Xenopus tropicalis: one gene and its partner. Each later gene encodes a partner of the first gene's protein in a complex. Links are inferred from orthologs where the notes say so. Each region holds a gene or a part of one and is shown on either strand. Other genes may lie near its edges.

What was found.
Region 2: the proteins of micall1 (region 1) and ehd1 are in contact, whole or in part, in an NMR structure (PDB 2KSP), measured with the Homo sapiens proteins. The link is inferred for Xenopus tropicalis from reciprocal best matches to the Homo sapiens genes MICALL1 and EHD1. Residues at the interface, in NP_203744.1 of Homo sapiens: Lys422, Tyr424, Asn425, Pro426, Phe427, Glu428, Glu429; in NP_001269373.1 of Homo sapiens: Gly464, Ala467, Lys468, Met471, Asn478, Leu481, Gly482, Trp485, Lys486, Lys492, Asp493, Gly494.

The regions. Positions count from the first base shown.
Region 1 is NC_030680.2:122,125,974-122,137,568, reverse strand, and holds part of micall1 (MICAL-like protein 1), read right to left. Parts: intron 8,550-11,595; coding exon 8,408-8,549; intron 8,329-8,407; coding exon 8,258-8,328; intron 7,557-8,257; coding exon 7,426-7,556; intron 7,331-7,425; coding exon 6,987-7,330; intron 6,916-6,986; coding exon 6,852-6,915; intron 5,516-6,851; coding exon 5,190-5,515; intron 4,050-5,189; coding exon 3,643-4,049; intron 1,555-3,642; coding exon 1,420-1,554; intron 852-1,419; coding exon 725-851; intron 276-724; coding exon 185-275; intron 1-184. UniProt on the Homo sapiens protein: Lipid-binding protein with higher affinity for phosphatidic acid, a lipid enriched in recycling endosome membranes. On endosome membranes, acts as a downstream effector of Rab proteins recruiting cytosolic proteins to regulate membrane tubulation.
Region 2 is NC_030680.2:32,908,414-32,920,579, reverse strand, and holds the start of ehd1 (EH domain-containing protein 1), read right to left. Parts: upstream 6,728-12,166; 5' UTR 6,653-6,727; coding exon 6,249-6,652; intron 1-6,248. UniProt on the Homo sapiens protein: ATP- and membrane-binding protein that controls membrane reorganization/tubulation upon ATP hydrolysis. In vitro causes vesiculation of endocytic membranes. Acts in early endocytic membrane fusion and membrane trafficking of recycling endosomes.

The DNA of each region.
Region 1 (11,595 bases):
TAACTAGTGGTTTCAGTAACCTTTAGGAAGCACGGCAATAGTCTACCTGACAGTATTCACTTATACAGCAAAACCCTAATATAGAAAGAGCAGTATTTAGTTATAAGTTTTCATAACCTGAATGCATATTCAGTAGTAGCAGTGGGATAAGACTAAAGGTACAAGAGAAGTCTGCCTTGCTTACGTGTACACAAGCTCTGACTCCCGGCGCACCAGGGTGTGTTTTTCTTGGATCAGCTTGAACCAGTCCACCAGCAGACTATCTTCATCTGACTCTGTACAGAGAGAGTGCAGTCACACAGCTGACTCAGAATAAAGGTGGCCATACATATTTAGATTTTAGCCATCTTACAACAAACTTTTGGGTATTGATCGTACATTTAATAATGTGATCTAAAACGAACATTCAGAAATTGTAGGATTAAAGTCCTAAAAATAACAAATCGGACATTGTTCTGACAATTAATAATTGCCAACAATCGTATGTAAGGTATATCCTGGAAATACATGGTAGGTCACCCAAGGATATCGTCAGATAGGCAATACATGGTCAAATATTATGGTTACCCTCCTGAAATTTTCTAACCTGTTTCTAAACTGATCAACTACTACATGAAAATTGGGGGAATATTAATTGAGCCCACGCACATTTTAAAAATTTTCCTGCATTTGCATGTATGGCCAATTAAACATTTTACAAATATCAGTCAGTCTATTCTCTCACCATTCTCCAACTTGCGCAGTCTGTGTTCCAGCTCCACCCCACGCCTTTCTAGCTCATCCAGGCGCAGCTCAATTGTCTCCATCTCCATCTGAATCTCATCTTCCGGAATGTAGTCATCAGCCTGAACCTGACAAGTAATTAAAGAATAAAGAAAAATCAGAAAAAGTCAGCACTTTCCACTAGAGAACTTTTGGTTATCACACAGAGGGTTAAGTCTAGTGACCACAATGGTGCCCAAAGTCTCTCTTATACAGTGAACCACAGAGCAAATAAAGATAAAGGGTGGCACTGATGGGGTAATAATTCAGAATTAGAATTCAAAGCACTTACTTTGTGCACTGAATATTCCTTCTCTATCTACTTGCATATATACATGAGCAGGCACTGCTACAGAATTACCTGTGCATATAGTACAACATGGCCGACAACCATTACATATAAAAAGTAGGGTTTATATAACAACCCTTTAACTTAATTTCATTCAACTGGCATTCCGAAGAATCCTGACGGTCACAGTCACGCTGTTTGCCTCACATATGGATTCCAGGGAATTTTACAACAAGATAGTGTGAGCCATGCTTTGCTTTAACAGATATCAATAAGTCATGTGGGCCCAGCAATACTGTCCTGACTTCTTACTGCGCAGTAAACAAAACACAAGAAAAGAACACGAAGAAGGGCTTAGACTGGTTTACCTTGCGTTTTATAAGGGGGAACCCATGTCCTGGAGCAGGGGGTCGGGAAGGTTTTGGACCTTTCTGGTTCCTTTTGTTGATGGGAGATGTAGCAGGAGAGGATTTCCTATTAAAGGGATTCTGTTTGCAAATTTGCTGGAAAGAAAGAGCAGAACGTAATAATAACAATACATGTATGGGATCCATTATCCAGAAACCCATTATTACAGCAAGGCCATCTCCCATAGACTCCATTTAAGGCAAATAATTTGAAATTTTTTAAAATATTCCCTTTTTCTTTATAACAGAACAATATCTTGTACTTAATCCTAACTAAGAAAGAGACATAATTAATCCTTATTGGCAAAACAATCCTATTGGGTTTATATAAGGTGTAAATGATTTTTAACTGACTTAAGGTATGAAAACCCAAATTATGGAAAGACCCCTTATCCAGAAAACCCCAGGTCCCACACATTCTGGATTACAGGTCCCATACCTGTACCACCCCAGCAATCCATAATGAACATTTCTGTATATCATGGTTCTCCTGCACAGGATACTTCAAGCTTTACCACAGTTAGTGAGGTTTGTAATTAAAGATGCGGTTCAACTTTAAGTTAACTTTTAATGTTATAAAAAGGCCAATTCCAAGAAAACTTTTTAATTAGTCTTCATTATTTATGTTTTATACTTTCTGAATTATTTGCCCTCTTCTTCTGACTCTTTCAAGGTTCAAATGGGGTCACTGACCCCAGCAGCCAAAAACACTACTGCTCTCTGAGGCTACAATTTTATTGTTATTGTTACAACTTACTACTTATTTTTTTTGTTTAGATACTCTCCTATAAATATATCAGTCTCTCATTCAAACCACTCCCTGGTTGCTAAGGTAATTTAAACCATTGCAATCAAATAGCTGCTGAAATTGGAGAGCTGCTGTAGAAAAAGTGAAATAATTAAAAAAAACCACGTATATATAAAAATTAGGATCATTTGCAAATTGTCTCAAAATATTACTCTCTACATCATACTAAAGGTTAACTCAAAGGTGAATAACCATTTCCTGCAGTAACACCCTGCAACTGAAGCTATGGCAGCTGTTTATGATCTTGCAACTTGCATGTCCTTCACCTGTATACCTAGCTGCAATGGAAATATACCAAGATATCTGTCCAGTACTGTAGCAGAAGCATGCCACGCAGACTGGGATACCCATACCAGCCCAATAAACAGTAACTGTCTATGTCACTAAACAGCAGCCCCTCTGGCATTTGCCAGAAACTGCTGACTGCCTGTTCAGGCCTGTTCCCATTAGACGTATGGTTCCTGCCATTTCCTGTTAACCAAAGACCTCTCCTGTAAGCCAATGAAGTCATTTACCAAATGTATACTCACTACTGAACAACAAACTCCATTTAGAAATTTTAGTTGCTTACAGGAAACTATACCCCCAAACAATGTAAGTCTCTATAAAAATATATTACATAAACAAGCTCATATGTAAAACCCTGCTTTATCTAAATACAACATTTTCATAAAAATATACTTTTTTAGTAGTATGTGCTATTGGGTAATCCTAAAGAGAAAACTGCCATTTTAAGAATTAAGGGCCGCCCCCTGGGATCATTGGATTCACAGTGCACACAAACAAGCCAAGGCACACACATACATGTTAGGTCCCATCAGCCAATGAATGGACAGAGTTCTGTCTTTTGCTTCCACACTACTTTCTGTTAGAGCTGCATTATTTTCATGTCATGTGATCTGTGATCTGTGTCATGTGAGGGAGCAAGGGAAAGGATGTAAAAGGGCAATATTTACCGATATATATATTCCAGTTTGGCGAGATTCTTTAATAGGTCACTTATCATAATATAAACCTATAATATAAAACCTATAATATAATCTGTTGGTTAAGTATACATTCTGGGGGTATAGTTTTCCTTTAAATAGGAGAATAAAGGTCATACAGTGTGATGGTTAAACTATCTTTTAAAAAAAAAAAAAATTAAAAAAACAATGGCCAACTATCACACTGTGTATAGCCAAATAATCATGTCTGGATATTATGCTAACTCCGTGTCACAAATGATGCTTTTGGTATATTACATAAACTTATTTGAATTATTCTAGACCAACCCCCCCTCCCTCTTCCCTTCTGTACCCCCCCATTTCTTATGAAAAGCAAAATAAAGAATATATAAAAAAAAATAAAAATTCTAGACCAGCCCTATCACTCACCTTTGCTAGAGGCTTTTTCTCTGGAGGTGTGCTGTCTGATGCCACTGTGCTAGGAATGGAGATGGTAGGTACTTGAGGGGCAGGTCGGCTTGGACTAAGAGGCATTTCTGGGGATGGGCTTTCTTGTGCTTCATTAGTATTAGCTAATTCGCTAGAGGAAGAAAGGCTGGTGTTGGTAGAAGTACTGGGGACACCAGTGCTGAGGTAGGTAGTAGTATCTCTATCTGAAGGTTCTGGCTTGTTTGGAGAATGGATAGTTGGTTCAGATGAGCTTTTGGGAACACTCTCAGGATCCTGGCCCTTTGTGGAAGCATCCGTTGGAAGGCTCTCTGTACTTAGGGCTGGGGAAGGGCTGCCCGAGGGAGGCTCCGAGTGAGACAGTCTTGACACTAGGTTAGAATGATGAGCTAAAAAAGAAACATACATAAAAGTCATTAAAGCAATTATGGAGAAATGTAATAAAAGTTACAGTGTGCCCGCTATGGTCTAGTAACCCACAGCAATCAAGTTGGTATGGGTAAATAGACTTGCTGCAAACTATGTTGTAGCCCACCTAGTGTCTATGTAAATATACCAGCACTAGCATGTCTCAGTAGATAGCTGTAAAGCTGCAATAACAGTATTTGATATATCTTGCACTAAGCTGCATTCAGTGAAACTGAAAGTACTTTTATTTTCCACTTCCTAGTTATGCAGGGCATGTGAAAGGAGGAAAAGACACACAGTTTACTTTTCACAGTAAAACCCTCTGTATAATAAACACTGATCCATGTGTAAACAAAGACAAAGGTTGGTGCTGGTGAGAGGAAGAGGCTTGTTTATACAGCCTTCATATAAACAAACTTCTGGTTACACAGGGAGGGAGGGCGTGGCAACAACAATAACAAAACAATGATCTGTTGCTGGCAGGATATATTTTCAAGAGAGGTTCTATTTCTTCACTGTAACAAGGAGGTTGCATTTTTTAAAGATTATGGAAGAAAGCTCTACAATAAACGTTTCAAATTCTGTGTACATAATTGTGTATTCTATGTTCAATTCTAAGGCCCAGAATCAGATTTGCAACCTAAAATGTGGTGTACAATCAGTGTTTGCGCCTAATTTGGCTTGCTATTTCCTCCTTTCAGAAGAAATACTGTATTAAAGGCAAAACACCCTAAACAGTATGGGAACCCATTTTTGGTTACAGATCCATAGGGTAAGAAAGATTGTGGTAACTCCCAGCTAGCTTATATAGCTTCTGTGCCTCATTTCAGGCAGTAATGTTCTACAATGTAGACACTTAATTGTTTCCAATCCACTGATGCCAGCCTAAGCTATGGGCACAAAGGGAGGGTTTCAGCAAGTGGAGAACTGACAAAAACCACCAATGGCATTTCTCATAAACTTAAATGGGAACTACCTGACATTGCTAGCACAAGAAGTTATCTGCCTAAAAACCTTCTAATCCATGTTTTTGGCCTGAGAACCCTCTGACCCCATAGCAACATCTAGATTAAGCGAGATAAGCAAGATAAAGCGGGTAAATACAAGCTATTTTGGCTTACCCAGAGGTGAAGCATTGGGAGCTTTAGGTGCTAGCCTTTTGCGACTCTTGGGGCTGCTGGTTGGTGTAATTCCATACCATGGGTGGCCTGGTTTTAGAGAACTTGTTTCCGCTTCCTCTTCTTCATCTTCAAATGGATTGTAGGCTGTTGGCTTTGATGAGAGACTTTGCTTTTCTGTGTCATTTAAAGACTTCTGAGATTTCTCATCTCCTAACTCCGGCTTTTGAGCCAGTGGTGGAGGTGGGGGAGCAGCTCTCCTTTTGGGCTCTGTCGCAGGAACCAGAGAGAGCCAAGGAGGATTTTTTTTCTGTTTTTCTTCATCCTCCCTAAACAGCATCAAAACAAAAAAAGCACCAAGTAAAGCAGATGACTTATGAAGCTCTGGAACTGCCCTAACCTGAAATATAATAAAATCAGTGACTGGATGTCCTAAAAGTTAGGATGAGACAGGATCTCTGTTCTAGGTTTTCTGGTCTTGCTCGGTAATTCAGAGGTTCTGGGGTGCAGTATTGCGATTCTTAGAGGAGAAGCTGGCATTCGTAAACATTTACTTCCTGGAACTCTGCCTACTAGGAATAACAGATGCCCTACAGTTTTGGCCAAAATCTGGGATGTGCTACTTACAGTTACTGTACTATGCTAAAAAAGGCATGTAAACCCCACACACAAAAATGTAAACATTGAACAGCCTCTTTGAAATCTTTCAATACCTGCATAGTAAGGCTGCAGCATCCCCTTAATCACTTAGAATTCCTTCTCCTCCTGTAACCCACTCGCCCCCCCCCCCCCCCTCGGTAATTTGCTTTGATTCCTGGCTTGTGGGCATGCTCAGTTGTTCAATAAAATAATAAAGCACTGATTAAGCCTGTACGAAAGGGATAAATTAAAAAAAGAACAATTTGTTGCAACAGTATTGTGAGATTAATTATGCTACATTAATTACCTATTATTATTTCTCCTTTGTTTTTGGCAAAAAGAGAACTACAATGTACAAAATAATGTGTGATATAATAATTTTCTGTTGCAGGGTTCTTCCTTTTAGAGGCATTTTCAACTACTGCAGATTCTGCTGTGCCAATGACTGTCACTGTTCTCTTATTAAATTTTCCTTCCTTTCTCCAAAAATCAGTGAGTCAAGGCCTTGATTGCTAACCCTATATCAGAATAACATGGAAGCAAGGCTTAGTTGGTGTTGGCATCATCTAATAGTATTGGTGGCAGCAGCAGAAACTGAAGGAGGCACTAAAAACCGAAAGCAGATGTAGATCACCCCTACATTTGTCACAGCCTGTACTACAAGAGATAGTAGTAGTAGGGGAAGCAAAGTAAACATAACTGGGGAGGTGCTAATTTGTTTTGCACCCTTAGTGCTTCTAATTGCTAACCTGCTACTGTAGGGTGGTGCACCTCTTACTAAAATACTTACCAGTCCAGGGTACTTTTATTTGAGCACAGCAAGCTGTCCTCATTTTTAACTTTGACAGACATCCCCTGCACCTGCTGAAGCTAGGCACATGAGCAGAAGAGAAATCAAGATGTTCTACGTATAGATTCGCGCAGGGCTGCCCTGGGAAAGCAGTGCTTAGAAGAAACTCTCCTCGCCCAGTGGATTTTCTGGTGGCAACTGTGTTAACTTTCTACCGAGTGTATGTGCACACTTACCTTTCTGAGGATCTCTGTCTGCTTCTTGGTTTGGGTATTGGTGGAGCGGGAGACTGTTGTTCGCCTGCATAAGCACAATGAATGTCAGTAATTGTTTGGATAACCATTCCCCCTTATGATTTGTTATCTCCTCACCATTTATTAGAGATGTAGGCCTCACTGGGCTTGATTCTGCTGCTGCACGGGAGCGTGGCAGAGGCTGAGGGGCCACATCACTTGTTCTTCTTGGAGCTGGTACTGGTCGCATGTTAGGAAAGGGATCAGGATGCAATTCTGTTGGAGGTTTATTGGAGGAGGCAGGTTTTTCTGGCACAAATGGTTTGGGAGGGGTCTGAACTGCTTTTTGCTTAGTGCCATCTTCTTCAGATTCAGGGCTGCTGGTTGGTGGCCGGTGGCAGTGGTGAGTGCAAACCAGAGTGCCGGCATCAGTGCCTGGGCGGTAGGCTCCTGGAACTAGGGTACTTGAGCATTCTTTACATCTGTGAGAAAGTGAAACAGGATGCAGTACATTAACTAGTAGAATTGCAGGTAAATGAAAAAAACAAGCAAAGTGATATTTTAAACATGAACAAACCTGAAGCACTGGCGGTGATAAAGCTTCCCCTCTACCAGGTATCTCTGCACTAGGTGTACATGCTGCTGGCACAGAGCACAGGTGCTGCTTATTGAGCTACGGATCAAAGAGGTCTGGGCATTTGGGCTTCCCTAAATAAAGATAAAAAAGAAAACAAATGATGAAGGGCTTTGCCCTTAGTAGTCTATGGCAGTACCGGGCTAACTGTAAGGTGTGCCCAAGGCACAATTCCTTGCCTTAATCACCCACCTGCCACAGTGAGGTGAGGAGTGGGTGGGGAGCAGAGTTTATGAGGGGAGGGTGTGTGATGTAATGCAGAATGGAGGTGCAACATAGCTCCTCTCTCAGCCAGCTGGAACTAAAGGTAGGCAGGTAGCTAAGGTATGTGCCTAGAACCCTCTTCTATTGCATCTTAGGCACATACCTCTTCTGCCTACCCCCGATTCACAGGACAAACTTGCACATGAGCAGTAACCCATGGAAACCAATGCGTGTTTTTTTTTCAGTCAGCTGCAGGTTTCTTACTATTATTAACATTTATTTATAAAGTGCCAACATATTCCGCAGCATTGTACAATAAGTGGGTTTCACACATTGGACATACAGAGTAATATATAAAGCAATCAATAACCGATACAAGAGGTGAAGAGAGCCCTGCCCAAAAGAGCTTACAATCTACAGGTTTAGCAGTGAAAACCAAAATTTCATTGGTTGCCATAGGTTACTGCCTAGGTGCAAAGGTGCCCAATGCTTATAAATGAGCCACTATGACTCATCACGTGCTATAGGTAAAAGCACATTTCTGTCCAAAGAGAAACAGCTTCCAGCCTACCTGAGGTAAGGAACCTCCACTGGGCTCTTTGCTGGGGGACTCAGAGGTTTCTTTCAGCTGAGGCTTTCCCACTGTGAAAAGAGTTAAAAAGTTGGGGGTCAGTTTGGATCATGTAGAACGTAATGGCCTTTCCTCTTGCACTATGCTCACCTGGACTAGAATTCCGGAAGTGGTTATAATACTGGGATAAGTACGTCATGATGCTCAGTCGATCAGGCACTTTCATGGACACCATGTCCTCTGGATCAAGCAAAGCTGGAATACCCAGTTCCCGTTCAGCCACTTCAAAAGCCTAAGAACACAAGAGCACTGAACTAAATGTGGGAAGGTTTTAGGTGAATAATGCCCAACAATCATTAAACCATATATTATAGACAGGGTATGCTTTCACTATTAAGGATTGGAGCTGTTACTAACCCCTCATTAGGTCAAAATACCCTAACATTTTCTAGTTAAACTGTGCTTAGTAAGGGGAATACCTATGCTGGTTGTGTTGCAGAGTATTGCTCTGTACAGGCCATGACCACACTAAGGCTGTTTTTCCTGCTAATGATATGCCTGGAGTATTCCATAATTATAACCTTCAGCTGGCCATGACCATAATAACATTAGAACACAGCCCATTTTGGCACTGTGTAAAAGAATTAGAACACTTCAATTAGTCTTGGACGAGAATGAGGTTTGACAAGACGATCACGAGCAGACCTGAGACTGTGGCAACATGCAGGGCATGACTGACAGTGAAAGAAAACTCTTACACAGAAGCAATGGAAAATAAAGTATCAGGAAATAACAATATATATACACACACACATACACTCACACAACAGATTTGCCTCTTAATTTTTTAAACTTTTTAAAATCTCACTTCCTTAGCACCAGTACTGAAAGACTTAAAGCAGCAGGAATTTGCCTGAGGTATCCGTCCTTAAGGGCAGTGGCACACGAGGAGATCTTTGTTACCGCTTTGCTTCGTTTTCCTGAAGTCATGCAAAGTTTCCTTGAGAGGCAACTTCAGAAGGCTTTGGGAAAACGAAGCAACGCGTATGCCATCCCACCGGCGATTTACATTCTTGCCCCCCACATGAAATCTCATGTCTTCTGCAAAACATGCAGGGCACCCCTTTATATGGGACCACCCTTGTGGCCCCCCTGGAAGCTGCAGGGTCTGTTTCCTCTGTAGTTATGCCACTGGGCACGGCAATGTGAAAGGAAGGTAATGACTATATGCCTCTCTCATGAATATAGCACCAGAGAGGATGTTAGTAGTGTCAAATGAGTTTTGGTATACAACAAAAAACCTACAGAATTAAAACAATACTTATATTAAAAATTCAATCGAATAAGTGCCCTCTTGCATTACAGTAACATGACTGTGTATATACATAAATATATGTATCACATACAAAGACAGGTGAAACGCACATTCCAAACGTTACCAGATATTTGTTTGTATAACTTTCCCTATGACAAATCTTTAAGCACACTAATATAACCTGCTTGTCCATGTCTTACTGGCCCATGGCTTATTAATGAGGTACAGTGCCGCAACAATAATGGCCAAGCCCAAGGGAAGGCAGAACCATAATATTGGTCAGTGTAGCGGTGAAAGGCAGTTCCAAAATTAGAAGTGAAAGCCAGGATTAGCAGCCATTATATGAAACAAAACAGACAGGGTAAATTCAGTAGCCAAATGTTGTAGCAGTGACACAGCATACATATAAATATATTATATATATATATCACAGCTTGGCTTCTTAGCCTGTTCATATGGTGACTGAGGTAATATAATAAAGCGTCAGCGTTTGCTGAGCAGTGAAACTGACAAAAGGACATAAATAGCCAGAAATAAGGAATAGGGCCCTGCTCACTGAAGCATACAGAGGACGGTGGAAACTTGAAACAAGGTCACAAGGCTGTTGGTGATCTCTGCTGAAGATAATGGAACACACTCCACACAATGGAACTTCCAATAAAGTACTAGGAGGGCAACAGTTTTAAAAAGTCCCCCCCCCCCCCCATCCCTGGCTGATGCGAGCGATGGTAGTGACTCAGATTTGTAGCTTTTCTTGATTAAAGCTTTGGCCGCTCTAAGCACAACACTCAGCTGCTTGTTGTAATAAGAAGTCTGGAGTCCATTTAAGGGTAAGAACACACAGGACATTTTGCTAAAGGCAGCATTTTCTGGCAATTATGCAATGCAATTGGTTTAGACACAGAGATTTTTGCAACAACCATGCAAAGGGATTTTTGATCAATCTGTTGCCCTTTGCTGGAGGTGATTTAACATGGAAACAAAACATCCTGTGTGTTCTTACCCTAAAGGAAAATTATAGCTCCACAAAGAACTATGCTGGAGATTTTACACCTTATATTTTGGGCTCCTGTACCAGCCCAAATTCACCACAGCCCTGTGCCCCCAAAGATGCCCCAGTAGCTCCCCATCTTCTTTTCTGCTGATTCCCTGCACATGCTCTGTGCTGCTGGCAGTTACTGAGATATATTGTGTGTGTGTATGTATGTGTATGTATGTGTATATATAGTGGGGTTTGACATCGTGAACAAGGTCCTAGACACGGACCGAAACGTTGATGTTTGAGCTATGATGTAAGTTATTAATAAAGCTAATTGATCTACGCTGGAGTGCACATAACTTTTGGAGAAACATACAAGGTACAACTCTATGTAGCACCCGCTCATTTTGCCTAAAGGATTAATTAAAGGGAGTGCGGACCTATTGGTGTATTATATATATATATATATATATATATATATATATATATATATACTTGTCAGGATCACAAGTTGGGGAGCTCCTGTGTACAACACTGAAGGCATGTATCATTACTATTATAGGGCTGCTGAACCACTGGGTTGGTACAGTAAGTTTAGTACAGGTATGGGATCAGTTACGGTATCTGGAAAATTGTTATCCAGAAAGTGGTATATAATATAAAGCATTTCTTGCCATAAGGGTTCCTTTAAATCATAGCTACATAGTTACTTGGTATAATTTAGCCAATAAAGCTCTGCAGTTTGTGCAGTATTTGGGGAGACATGGAAAGGCCAGTAAGAGAGCAGCTGGGAAAAACTAAAAATAATATCCTAGCTGGCCAAGTTAGCCCTTTTATTAGTCCTATATTAATCTCTTTTATTAATCTCTTGCAGGTCATAGCTAAAGAAAACGAGGGCTACCCTTCTTGCAGGGACCCAGAAAAGAGATATAACATTTTAGGCAAGTGATTTTTGCCTCCCCTGCTTCTCAGCCTGAAGTTTTGTCTAGGTGAGATCTGTGGGGAACAATTACTAGTTGCACTTTATGTTAATGTGACTATGGC
Region 2 (12,166 bases), about 89 Mb from region 1:
TTTACCATAGACTAAAAGAAACCAAAAACCATGATCGCAAAGGATATAAAGTATTCAAAGGGACACAATGCTGAATAACAGAAGGATATTTACTCACTAAGTAGTTCCAGGACCTGTGTAATGCACAAAACCAGACATTTTCAGTTTGTTCCATTTACCAACACCCCACCCTCCACCACCACTTTCAGACTCATGCCCACTATTTTCAACTAACCAAAATTGATATGCATATTCTGAGTCTGATGGTCCTAAAAAGTGAAAATAAAAGCAATTTGGTATTTTTACTACAGTGTATGTGATCTGAGGTCAGCTGTAATCTAAATATGCACATTATCCAGTTTTATTGCTTTCATATCTGCAAGACAATTCTGCTTTGAGTTTCTGTAGCTTGGTGGTGCTTGGTCTGTTGCATCTGTAAATGTTTGAGGCCAGAGATTTGTGCCACGCCTTACTAATGCCTGACCCTTTGTACAAGAAAAAGGCATCTTTTCACGACTCAAAACAAATGCTGCTAATAATATGAAAGCAAAAGTATTAGTATACAAAAATAGCATGGCTTTCTAGAAATGATGTAGCACTTCAGGGAACTGCAGACTGCACATCTTCACAGGCAGCAAAAGCTCCTTTAACTTGGACAGCACTCTGAAGTATTTAAAGGAACAGTAACACCAAAAAATGAAAGAGCTTTAAAGTAATAAAAATATAATGCACTGTTGCCTTGCACTGGTAAAACTGGTGTTTTTGCTACAGTAACACTACTATAGTTTATATAATAAGCTGCTGCGTAGCCATGGGGGCAGCCATTCAAGCTGGAAAAAAGGAGAAAAGGCACAGGTTACATAGCAGATAACAGATAAGTTCTGTAGAATACAATAGTGTTTTATCTGTTATCTGCTCTGTGCCTGTGCCTTTTCCCCTTTGAATGGCTGCCTCCATGGCTACATAGCAGCTTATTTATATAAATTATAGTAGACTTTCTGAAGTAAATACACAACTTTTACCAGTGCAGTACACTTTCATTTTTTGGTGTTACTGTTCCTTTAAGAGATTTAAATGCCTTTACTTCCATTTTGTTACAAATAAAGGCAACTTAACCTCTTAAAGATGTTTTAGAGAGCAGTCCGTGTTCATTGAGTATAACTGCATCTTTTACACAAAGAGCCTTAAGACCATTTCTATTGTCATCTGCTGTAGCCCCATTAACCTACTTGGTGGGGGGAAAAAAGGAACTAAAGTTGCCTCTCAAGGGAACTTTGGGCTATTTAAAAAGTAGCCACACCACATATGCATGAGATAAGTAGCCCACGGTAGAGGAGATTTATTGCGGGGCACTACTCGCTTAGTGTGTCCCAGGGAAAGATTAATCTAATACTCTCCAAAATGCCTTTCCAACGTCAACAAATGCTGGCAGAAAGGCCTACGCATCGCTTAGGTTTTGCAAAGTTTCCTCCAGCTGGTAACTTCATCCACTTCAGAAAACCAAAGCAACGCGTAGGTCTTTTTCACCTGCGATTCGCTTTGTTGCAGGTGGAAAGGCACTTTGGAGAGTTTAGTCGCCTGCGGTAGAAGTCTTGGGCAACTAATCTTTCCATGGGACATTACACTTAAAGGAACAGTAACAACAAAAAAATTGTATAAAAGGAATTATAATATACTGGATTATAAATTTAAAACTGGTGTGTTTGCTTCAGAAACCCTGCTGCCCCCATGGCTACACATCAGCTTTTTTTATATAAACTATAGTAGTGTTTCTGTAGAAAACACCATTTGTACTAGTGCAGGGCAACAGTACATTATATTTTAATTACTTTAAACCACTTTCATTTTTTGGCATTTCTTTTCATTTAAGGCAGGGGTCCCCAACCTTTCTTACTCGTGAGGCACAGTCAAATGTAAAAAGACTTAGAGAGCAACACAAGCATCATAAAAGTTCATGGAGGTGCCAAATAAGGGCTAAGATTGGCTATTAGGCAGCCTCTGTGCACACTATCAGCTTACAGGGGGCTTTATTTGGTAGCAAATCTTGTTTTTATTCAACCAAAACTTGCCACCAAGTCAGGAATTCAAAAATAACTACCTGGTTTGGGGGCACTGAGAGCAACATCCAAGGGGTTGGTGAGCAACAAGTTGCTTATGAGACACTGAATGAGGATCACTTCTTTAAGGCCTGCACTGGAAATCACTGTGTTTGCTTTGAAAACACTACTAGTTTGTATAAATAAGCAGAGCTGTAGCCATGGGGGCAGCCATTCAAGCTGAATAAGGCAAAAGCCACAACAGATAAGAGATAAGCTGTATAGAATACAATGGTTTAAGTTATTATCCAGATAAACAGGGGCCAATCTCTTGTATAATATAGTACAGGGGTGCCCAGACAATCTACTTTTGACTCCTCCCCACGTACGTACACATACCCAATAAACGTGCTGCACTTCCACATCCCAAGGCTTAGACGCGGTCCACCAGAAATCCACGGGGGATCGACTGGTGGATCGCGGTCGACGCCACCCCTGATATAGTACAAGAAGAAATAGTTAATTTGTAGGAGCTGGTTATGTTTAAAGTTTGTATTTGTTTAAAGTATATCTTTCCACTTTTTGACATTACTGGGTCTTTAAGGGCACCTATCACCCAAATATTGTTTCCCCCACTAGTGCAGGCGGCCCAGTGGGGTACATGGGTGTCCTTTAAGATTGCCATACATTGAGAGGTCGCCAAAAGAGCAGGCATTTCCTATTGAATCACAATCATGGGGATACAGAACGTTGGGATGATCTTTGGCTACACGTATAGAACAACAAACTGACCAGGAAAGGCCATCAATCTGCAACTCACAAAATAACCATTTCTCTTAGGGAATTCAGGGAGGCATTTTTATGGATGGCAGCACACATAGGCCGACGCTATGCTGCCTTGTTTTGGGACAGATGTTGGATCAGTTTGGCTTAAAACTGCCAGACAGAATTACTTCCGCACACAAAGCATAAATAATTGCTTTGGAACAGTTGCAGAGTAACAGCACAAACACACAGGTATATTTTCATGCATACACGGTGGGTTCCTCTGTATAAATCTGCTTTATGGTTTTGTACCCTCAGAAGTGAATGCCAATGCTAAACATACACAGGTTTTATCTATGTTTTGCATTGATGGCCTCACCCTTAATTCATCTAAAAGAGCAAAACCCACTTAAAGGAACAGTAACACCAAAAAATTAAAGAGTTTTAAAGTAAATTAAATATAATGTACTGTTGCCTTGCACTGGCAAAAGTTGTGTGTTTGCTACAGTAACTCTACTATAGTTTATATAAATAAGCTGCTGTGTAGCCGTGGGGGCAGCCATTGAAGCTGGAAAAAAGGAGAAAAGGCACAGGTTACATAGAAGATAACAGATAAGCTCTGTAGAATACAATAGTGTTTTATCTGTTATCTGCTATGTGCCTGTGCCTTTTCTCCTTTGAATGGCTGCCCCCATGGCTACACAGCTGCATTCTTTATATAAACCACAATAGTGTTTCTGAGGCAAACACACCAGTTGTACCAGTGCAGAGCAGCAGTACACTATATTGGAATTTCTTTTATACACTTGAATTTTTTGGTGTTACTGTTCCTTTAAGTCTCGCAGTAGTTTATAACTCACAATGGGAACTATAGTCAATTAATGACTCCAGCTTTGAAAAGCCCCAATCCTAAAACTCACGTGAGTGGTCTGTTACTCCACCCACCCATGTCCAATATCATTGCTGAGCAATCAAAAGCGTTGTAAATCCCTGGCTGCCATGCTTAAATATATATTTTAGCTTATTTTTATATTCCACACATTTTCTACTACATTTTAGGATTCAATACAACATTTTAATATATTTGCAATATAGCTAAAACTTTTAGCATGTTATGATCATCCTGTAGCCTCTTGCTGTTCTTAGATTACAGTGACCAGCTCTGACCAGAGCGGCACAACAGCTGGGGAAGTTTAGCCCCCAGGACAGTACTCAGCTGCTGAGGGTGGGGAGGGGGGTTTACACACCCAGAGCTGCCTGCATGATACACTTCAATCTCCCAGCACCCCTGGGTGTAGTTCTACAGCAGTGATCCCCAACCAGTGGTTTGTGAGCAACATGTTGCTCCCAGTGGCCTCAAAAGAGGTGCTTATTTTTTAATTTCTGGCTTGGAGGCAAGTTTTGGTTGCATAAAACTCAATGTAAAGCCAAACAGAGCCTCCAATAGGCTTGCCAGTACACATAGGGGCTATTAAGTAGCCAATTATAGCTCTTATTTGCACCCCCAGGAACTTTTTCCAAGCTTGTGTTGCTCTCCAACAATTTTTCCATTTGAATGAGGCTCATGGGTATAAAAGGTTGGGGATCCCTGTTCTACAGCAATGGAACCAACACAAACCTATGACATGCTGCAGCCATATATTGTGGCTATTAAGGGGAACTTTACCTTCCAGTAGGTTATCCAGCAGAAACTAGAAGCTAGCAAAACGCCCCTGGCACGCCCCTGTCACTGCTCATTATGTTATATATCAGGGATCCCCAACCTTTTATACCGGTGAGCCACATTCAAATGGAAAAAGTTTTGGAGAGCAACACAAGCATGGAAAAAGTTTCTGGGTGTACCAATAAGAACTATAATTGGCTATTTGGTAGCCCCTATGTTGACTGGGAGACCACAGAAGGCTCTCTTTGGCAACTGCACTGGGTTTTTATGCAATCAAAGCTTGCCTCCTAACCAGAAATTCAAAAGTTAGCACCTGCTTTGGGGACACTGGGAGCAACATCAAAAGAGTTGGGGAGCAACATGTTGCTCATAAGCCACTAGTTGGGGATCACTGTTATATATAATGGTAAGTGCCCTGGCTGAGCAGTGAATGGGAAAACCTCAATGCAAGCGGAGTAATACAGAGCGGACAGGGGCGTTTTGACAGCCACTTTTTCCCCCCACAGGGCAGCAGAGGTGCCATTGGCCTAATGTTAGGGAGCCAGACTGTGCCATTGGCCTAATGTTAGGGAGCCAGACTGTGCCCATTGGCCTAATGTTAGGGAGCCAGACTGTGCCCATTGGCCTAATGTTAGGGAGCCAGACTGTGCCCATTGGCCTAATGTTAGGGAGCCAGACTGTGCCCATTGGCCTAATGTTAGGGAGCCAGACTGTGCCCATTGGCCTAATGTTAGGGAGCCAGACTGTGCCCATTGGCCTAATGTTAGGGAGCCAGACTGTGCCCATTGGCCTAATGTTAGGGAGCCAGACTGTGCCCATTGGCCTAATGTTAGTGAGCCAGACTGTGCCCATTGGCCTAATGTTATTGAGCCAGACTGTGCCCATTGGCCTAATGTTATTGAGCCAGACTGTGCCCATTGGCCTAATGTTAGGGAGCCAGACTGTGCCCATTGGCCTAATGTTAGGGAGCCAGACTGTGCCCATTGGCATAATGTTAGGGAGCCAGATTGTGCCCATTGGCCTAATGTTATTGAGCCAGACTGTGCCCATTGGCCTAATGTTAGGGAGCCAGACTGTGCCCATTGGCCTAATGTTAGGGAGCCAGACTGTGCCCATTGGCCTAATGTTAGGGAGCCAGACTGTGCCCATTGGCATAATGTTAGGGAGCCAGACTGTGCCCATTGGCCTAATGTTAGGGAGCCAGACTGTGCCCATTGGCCTAATGTTAGGGAGCCAGACTGTGCCCATTGGCCTAATGTTAGGGAGCCAGACTGTGCCCATTGGCATAATGTTATTGAGCCAGACTGTGCCCATTGGCCTAATGTTAGGGAGCCAGACTGTGCCCATTGGCATAATGTTATTGAGCCAGACTGTGCCCATTGGCCTAATGTTATTGAGCCAGACTGTGCCCATTGGCTTAATGTTATTGAGCCAGACTGTGCCCATTGGCCTAATGTTATTGAGCCAGACTGTGCCCATTGGCCTAATGTTATTGAGCCAGACTGTGCCCATTGGCCTAATGTTATTGAGCCAGACTGTGCCCATTGGCCTAATGTTATTGAGCCAGACTGTGCCCATTGGCCTAATGTTAGGGAGCCAGACTGTGCCCATTGGCCTAATGTTATTGAGCCAGACTGTGCCCATTGGCCTAATGTTATTGAGCCAGACTGTGCCCATTGAGCTCAGGGAGGTGCAAGACTGGCTCTCACTAATGCTTTGTCGCATGCTTCCAAGGGACAATCGCTGCGACCTGTGGGCTGCTTACCCTACAGTGCCCCCCAAGCTGAAGCCTACACACGGGTTACCTATTAAGGAAGGCATTGCCGAAGGCGCTCAGCTTCCTGAAGGGTTTCTTGGGGTCAACCACAAGCGCGTTCCCGGGCATGACCCCCTCCACGGGCCCGTGCATGACGGCGATGAATGAGTCGGTGGTGGGTTCGGGCCCGATCCTCATGCCGGGGAAGTCCTGCTCTATGAGGTGGCGGATGAAGGTGGTCTTGCCCGTACTGTACTGCCCCACCAGCAGCACCATGGGGTTGTTATGGAAGTCGGCATCTTCCAGGGCAGGGGAGTGGAAGTCATGAAAGCGGTAAGTCTCCTCCAGAGGCAGCAACTTGTGTGTGTAAAGCTTCCGGAGACCCTCGGACACCGTCTGGAAAAGCTCCGGTTCTTTCTTCCTCCGAGTATCCTTATTCGACCAGCTGAACATGGCGGCTACTGCTGGGGCAACCCTTGTTTCCTACCTACACGGGATGGGATAACGGAGCCGGGACGAGCTCCTCACAGCTGGCCGAGAGACTGAGCTTGGGACCGGGGGCGCGCACTACTGGGCGTGGCGGGGACGCGCGTCCGCTGCTGGGAGGCGTGCATGAGAGGATGGAGCCGTGCCCGCCGGTGGAGTCACACGGGTCAATTCTCTATCCGGGACTTTGGTCCCGTCTCTCTGGCCCGTAACGGGTTTATAGGGCATGGTATGGCGCCTGTCATTGTCTTCTCCCAAGTAAAAGCGAATTTCTCATGAATTGCTGAGTTCAGCTGAGCTATAAAAGTCTCTGTATTCTGTTTAATACAGAAAGAACGGCGTTACAAAAATATACAAATACATTTTGTGTGGTGAAGTAAAGTCTGCCACTAGCATGAATGGCAGCGTAATAAATGTGCGGATGTAAAATTACAAGCACCTTTACTATTAACAGAATGTTTTTGGTTCCAGTTTATAAACTGGTAATATAATACCTTATGTAACAACAGCGCCACCTGCTGGTCAGTTCTTTCAGCTACACAGTCTGGGAAATATATGTTAAAAAAGAAAACTAAGCTGTTCTGATGTTGCTTTGCTCAGAAAGGAGGTCAGAAGCCTCAGAAGAACTTTCTGAAGTCTTTCCTATGAACTATTAACTGGGAAAGGCTTTTGAAGAGCACTGTTAGTTTTATTTAAAGAAAAAACGCCTCAAAAGGACAAGACTTACGCATTCCGTGCCTTGAGGGGCAACTTGAGCCAATGATTAAGTGCCTTTCAAGCTCGGCATGGAATGTGTAAGGCTTGTCCTTGTGAGATTTTTTTCTTTAAATAAAACTATTTTTTACTGCATTATTTCTGCTATTTCGGTCTGTTTTTGTGCCATCCTTGTGTCAGTAAACCTCCCTTAAGCAGAAAGTCTGGTCCCCTACCTGATTTGTTGAGTTCAGCCAAATATAATATAACTGTATTTTCTCTTTTATGTTTTTCTTTCACATCCTTTAAACTTTGCATTTTTTTCTCCTTTTGCAAAACAAAGTCTTTGAAATACCCTAAACAAAGGAAGGTGGAGTTCGCCATAGTTAGAGTGCGGGAAATTATTCAAATTCTTATGTAAACAGGAAAGTCCGACATAAGTAAAGCTTGTCAGAGTCTTGGCATCGCAGACATACAGAGTCCCTAAGCTCTCTCATTGTATAGTGCTGGCATACATTGCCCAGAAAGAGATCGTACAGGGGTATCAAGTCCTTCTTTCATGCTGTTTCCTATATGGAAAATGTTTTTAGAGAGTATGGTGACTAGAACTTTGAAGTCAGTTTCAGACATCTGTTGTTTTATCTGTAATGCTAATTCTAGCTGGTAGTCATGATCTGCTGCTTCCAGCAATGGATGTAAAGTTGCTATGACTTTCAAACTGATGTTTTAGCCACAGTGAATTTGATGAGTTATAGGTTATATAGGAACATATACCAAGGGGACACTGTTATAAGACAATAAAGAGTAAATTTGGGGCTAGGGGAGAAAGGCAAAGACCTAGGGCTAGGCTGTAGGACATATGTATACAGTGCTCCAGACTACTGGGTCTTTACTCTGCCCTAAAGTACGGCATCACCCTTGGGTCTAAGCTGGGATAAGAGGCATTACCGGCTAACACAGGTAAGTAATGGGGCGCCAAGGGGAGGCAAAGTGTTAGTTTTAGAACAGAACAGTTTGAGCACAGAACATAGCATCTAGTAGCAAGAAAGATACTGTTACAGACAATATGGTCTCTACAAGCCTGTCCAACTACATTAGCACCACTAGCTGTTATTCCAGCAGACTAATAAAGGCCCCCATACACGGGCCGATAGAAGCTGCCGATATCGGTCCCTTGGACCGGCTCGGCAGCTTATCTGCCTGTGTAGGGGCAGAAACGAGCAGGCTGGCCGACCGATATCAGGCCTGAAATTGGCCAGATATCAATCGGCCAGGTTAAAAGATTCAGTCGAATCTGGGGCCGCATCGGCTCGTTGATGCGGTCCCCGAACCGACTGCCCCATTGCCGCCTACATAATCGGAATTTTTTTTTTTAAGTTCAAGCTCCCCGATATCGCCCACCTTTAAGGTCCCCATACACGGTAAGATCCGCTCGCTTGGTGAGATCGCCAAGCGAGCGGATCTTCCCCCAATATCCCCACCTAACTCCACTGTCCTTAGTGATGACTGCAGGCACAAGCAGCCTCTGACCCTGCATGTACGCACAGAGTAGGGAACTGTATGTGAGGGACACAGCCAGGGATGTTCAGCAGCCTCTCTCTGCTTCAGTATTGAGGGCGTACAGTATGGGAGTGGGCAGGCAGGAGATTTTATTTTTCCAGAGAAGGGGCTATGAAGGCAGCTACTGGATGATAATGTTGACAGACAGGTGGGAACGACTGCAACAGCAGGGAGAGTTGGCTTTGAGGGCAAAATTCCAGGTGCCCTCTCTTGCCCCTTTTTGCAGCATCCATGCTTGCTTGGCAGTGCACCTTCCTTACTACTGAGCCCCAGGTGTGAGCTTTAGGGGCCTGTGTGTGTGTGTGCTTGTGGGAAACTCTGTTTCTCCTATGTGTCTGTACCTTGGCCTCTGAATAAGCAGGAACAGCTAGGCAGGAACCTCTTAAGGATCTGGGATAGCGGAAACCTTCTGCCTTCAGGGAAATGATAACAAATCCTGTAAATAAGAAGCATCTATAGTTAAAGGCATTGTACATCACTGCCTGTATGGAAAGCATTTCAAGTAAGGAATTTGCATTTGCAAAGCAAAAGGAATCCAGAGAAGGAGGCCCAGTGGGGCCTGAGCTTTAACCTGTAGGGTAATTCCATGAAAATGAAACTGTTCTGCCAGGATTCCATCTGTTGTAGTAAAAGGGAAACATGGAAGGGATTTTATTTAGGCATTGCCACTACCTCCAGCTAAAGGGCTGAGCTGATTCCATTGGTGGGTCATAGGGAGATGCATGAGAAATATATAAAGCTATCTACACTAAAAAATACTTGGTCAGCCAGTTTACTGGTGCTCAACAACTAGTTTTGGTGTATAACCCAGCCACACACAGTGAGAAGGGCTCACACTTTGTTGTGACTGATTTATAGCAGGAGTCCATTAAGCAGATGGATTATCAGTGGACTGGGAATCTATCTACCATGCTCTAAACGTAGAGTAGTTTCAGTTTCCTGTTTGCCCTGCTTGGCAAAATGTGTGATCAGCGCAAGCCCTATTCATTGAACATGGGGATATACTGTCCCTTCAGATACCATGACAAGGACTTGTGCCAGTGTTTAGATTCTACAAACAGTGTTAGGACAGGATAATGAACCAGGTCCAGTATTTGGTGTATCCCTAAAGTGCACATTCTTACTAAAGAAATGCTTTTCTTGCTGTTTCTGTGCTTATTTTGCATTCCCATTTGCCTGTAAATTGTAATCAGAGACTTCTCTTGATAGAATATTTTTCATTCAACTTACAGTATATTTCCAAAAATATGATGCAATATTACCAAGTCAGTCAGATAAAATGGTCTGTTTTTGGTCTCTGGCCAAAAAGTAGGAGGTCTGTTTTTACAGATGTAACTTATACTGATAATCATGCATTAAAAGATGAACTAATCATAAAGGAATTTCAGTATTTAGGAGTTCCTGCCTGCTATTTTCCATTTACTTCACAAGGCAGAAGAAACACTGGGTAGGAAACCATAAAATGTCCATTTTCATGAAATGCTAGATCAGCAGGGGGGCCAGGCTTAAGGAACTGTTTCAAACCATATTAGCAGGGGCGGGCCAAGCTGTCCGGGCACCCTAGGCAACCCGGTCGGCCACCTCGCCCGCCCCGCCCCCTCCGTTGGTGCGCATGCACAGTTCGGGGGGGGTGTGTGCGATGCCGTGGGTCATTGCCCCCGCCACTTGTCATTAGCGGCGGGGGCAATGTAGGGGAACCAGTGGTAGGCAGCAGAGGCTTCTGCCTGGCGCCCCCTAATCATTGCGCCCTAGGCAGCTGCCTCTTCTGCCTACCCCTACTTCCGGCCCTGCATATTAGATTACAAATCATGAAAAGACTGCATATTTTTAAATTGACGTATATTGCAAAGTTCCATGAAATTATGTACATTTACCAATAATCAAGAGTATTCTAAGAAACCAGAAAAGCAGCAGTACCCACATGAATAATGCGTAGACAATTAGGGCCTGTTGGTTTTTATATTTTGTGATCTCTGATATTAAGTCAGTGGGTCTCTGCCTTGTGTATTGATTGTCAGTGTTTTACCTACTTTACTTTCTTAGACTCCAGTTTTCACTTCCGCAGCCCTTCTGCTCCCCCTTGTTCTGTTCCTGTATCAGCATACATGCTTAAAAGAGAGGGCTATGAAAACCAAGGTGTGGCTTTGTACAAGATCGGGAATAGCAAAGGAGATATGTTTATTGTGGTATTATACTAGAGAGATAGAGTTGGTGGCAGGGGCATATAGGGCATCATTAAGGAATGCTAAGCTAGATGAGGGTAAGTTTCTCTTGAGACATATGTTCTAAGAGATCATTTAAAGGCTGAAGGTTTGTGAGAAATACTGATGGAACATGGGAGGAAATTCCAGAGGAGGGGTGCAGTTTTAGCGATGGTGTTTCTAAAGAGGCAGTGGGTGAAGAGTGGACGAGTAGATTATCAGAAGAGTGCAATGAGCAGTTTGGTGAATACTTGAAGATAAGGTGTAAGGTGGGACAGAGCTCTAAATTTGAATGTCAGGCTTGATAGTTTAAATTTGATTCAGTACTGGCATTGAAGGAATTTTATTTGGAAGCCAGTGTAGAACTGGCAGAGTGGCATGTTAAAGACCGAGTGGTTGGTGAAATGTATAAGCCTGGCAGCTGCATTCATTTTGGATTGAAGTGGGGACAATTATCTCTGCAGCCATGCACTAAGCTGTATAACTGGGTATAGGTGGCTCAAGATAAACCTGAATTATTTCAGAGTATCGTTGGCTGCATTTTTGTATGTAAGGGTAATGGCACCAGGTGTAATTCTACTCATTCTGCTTCCCGAGGGTTTTCCAACTTGCCAGGCAGGTGTCTTAATTTTAGGGCTATACAAACAGCAACATGACAGGCTTCACTTTGCCAATTCACTGGTCCCTGCAGGAGCCATGGTTCTAATCCTCCTCTGCCTCTGTACCACCATATTGTCAAAAAGCCAAGAGAGTGAACAACTGCATGTACAAAATTTCTTTATGATCAGTGCCTCATAGGATGAATATACCATACAACGATTGTGTGCTCCTGGGCCCTTCCTCAGGTAAGAAACAAGAGTTTGTAAATGTGTATATTATTGTGTTTACAGAGAAGATGGAAATACTCTGCTCTTGTCCTAAAGGAGAGAGTCACAGTCACTCAACAAAGTCACATTAATCTGAGGCAAATGGAAACCATTTTTTTCGCTCAATATTGCTTAGCATTTATATTTCAAAAGCTTATTCC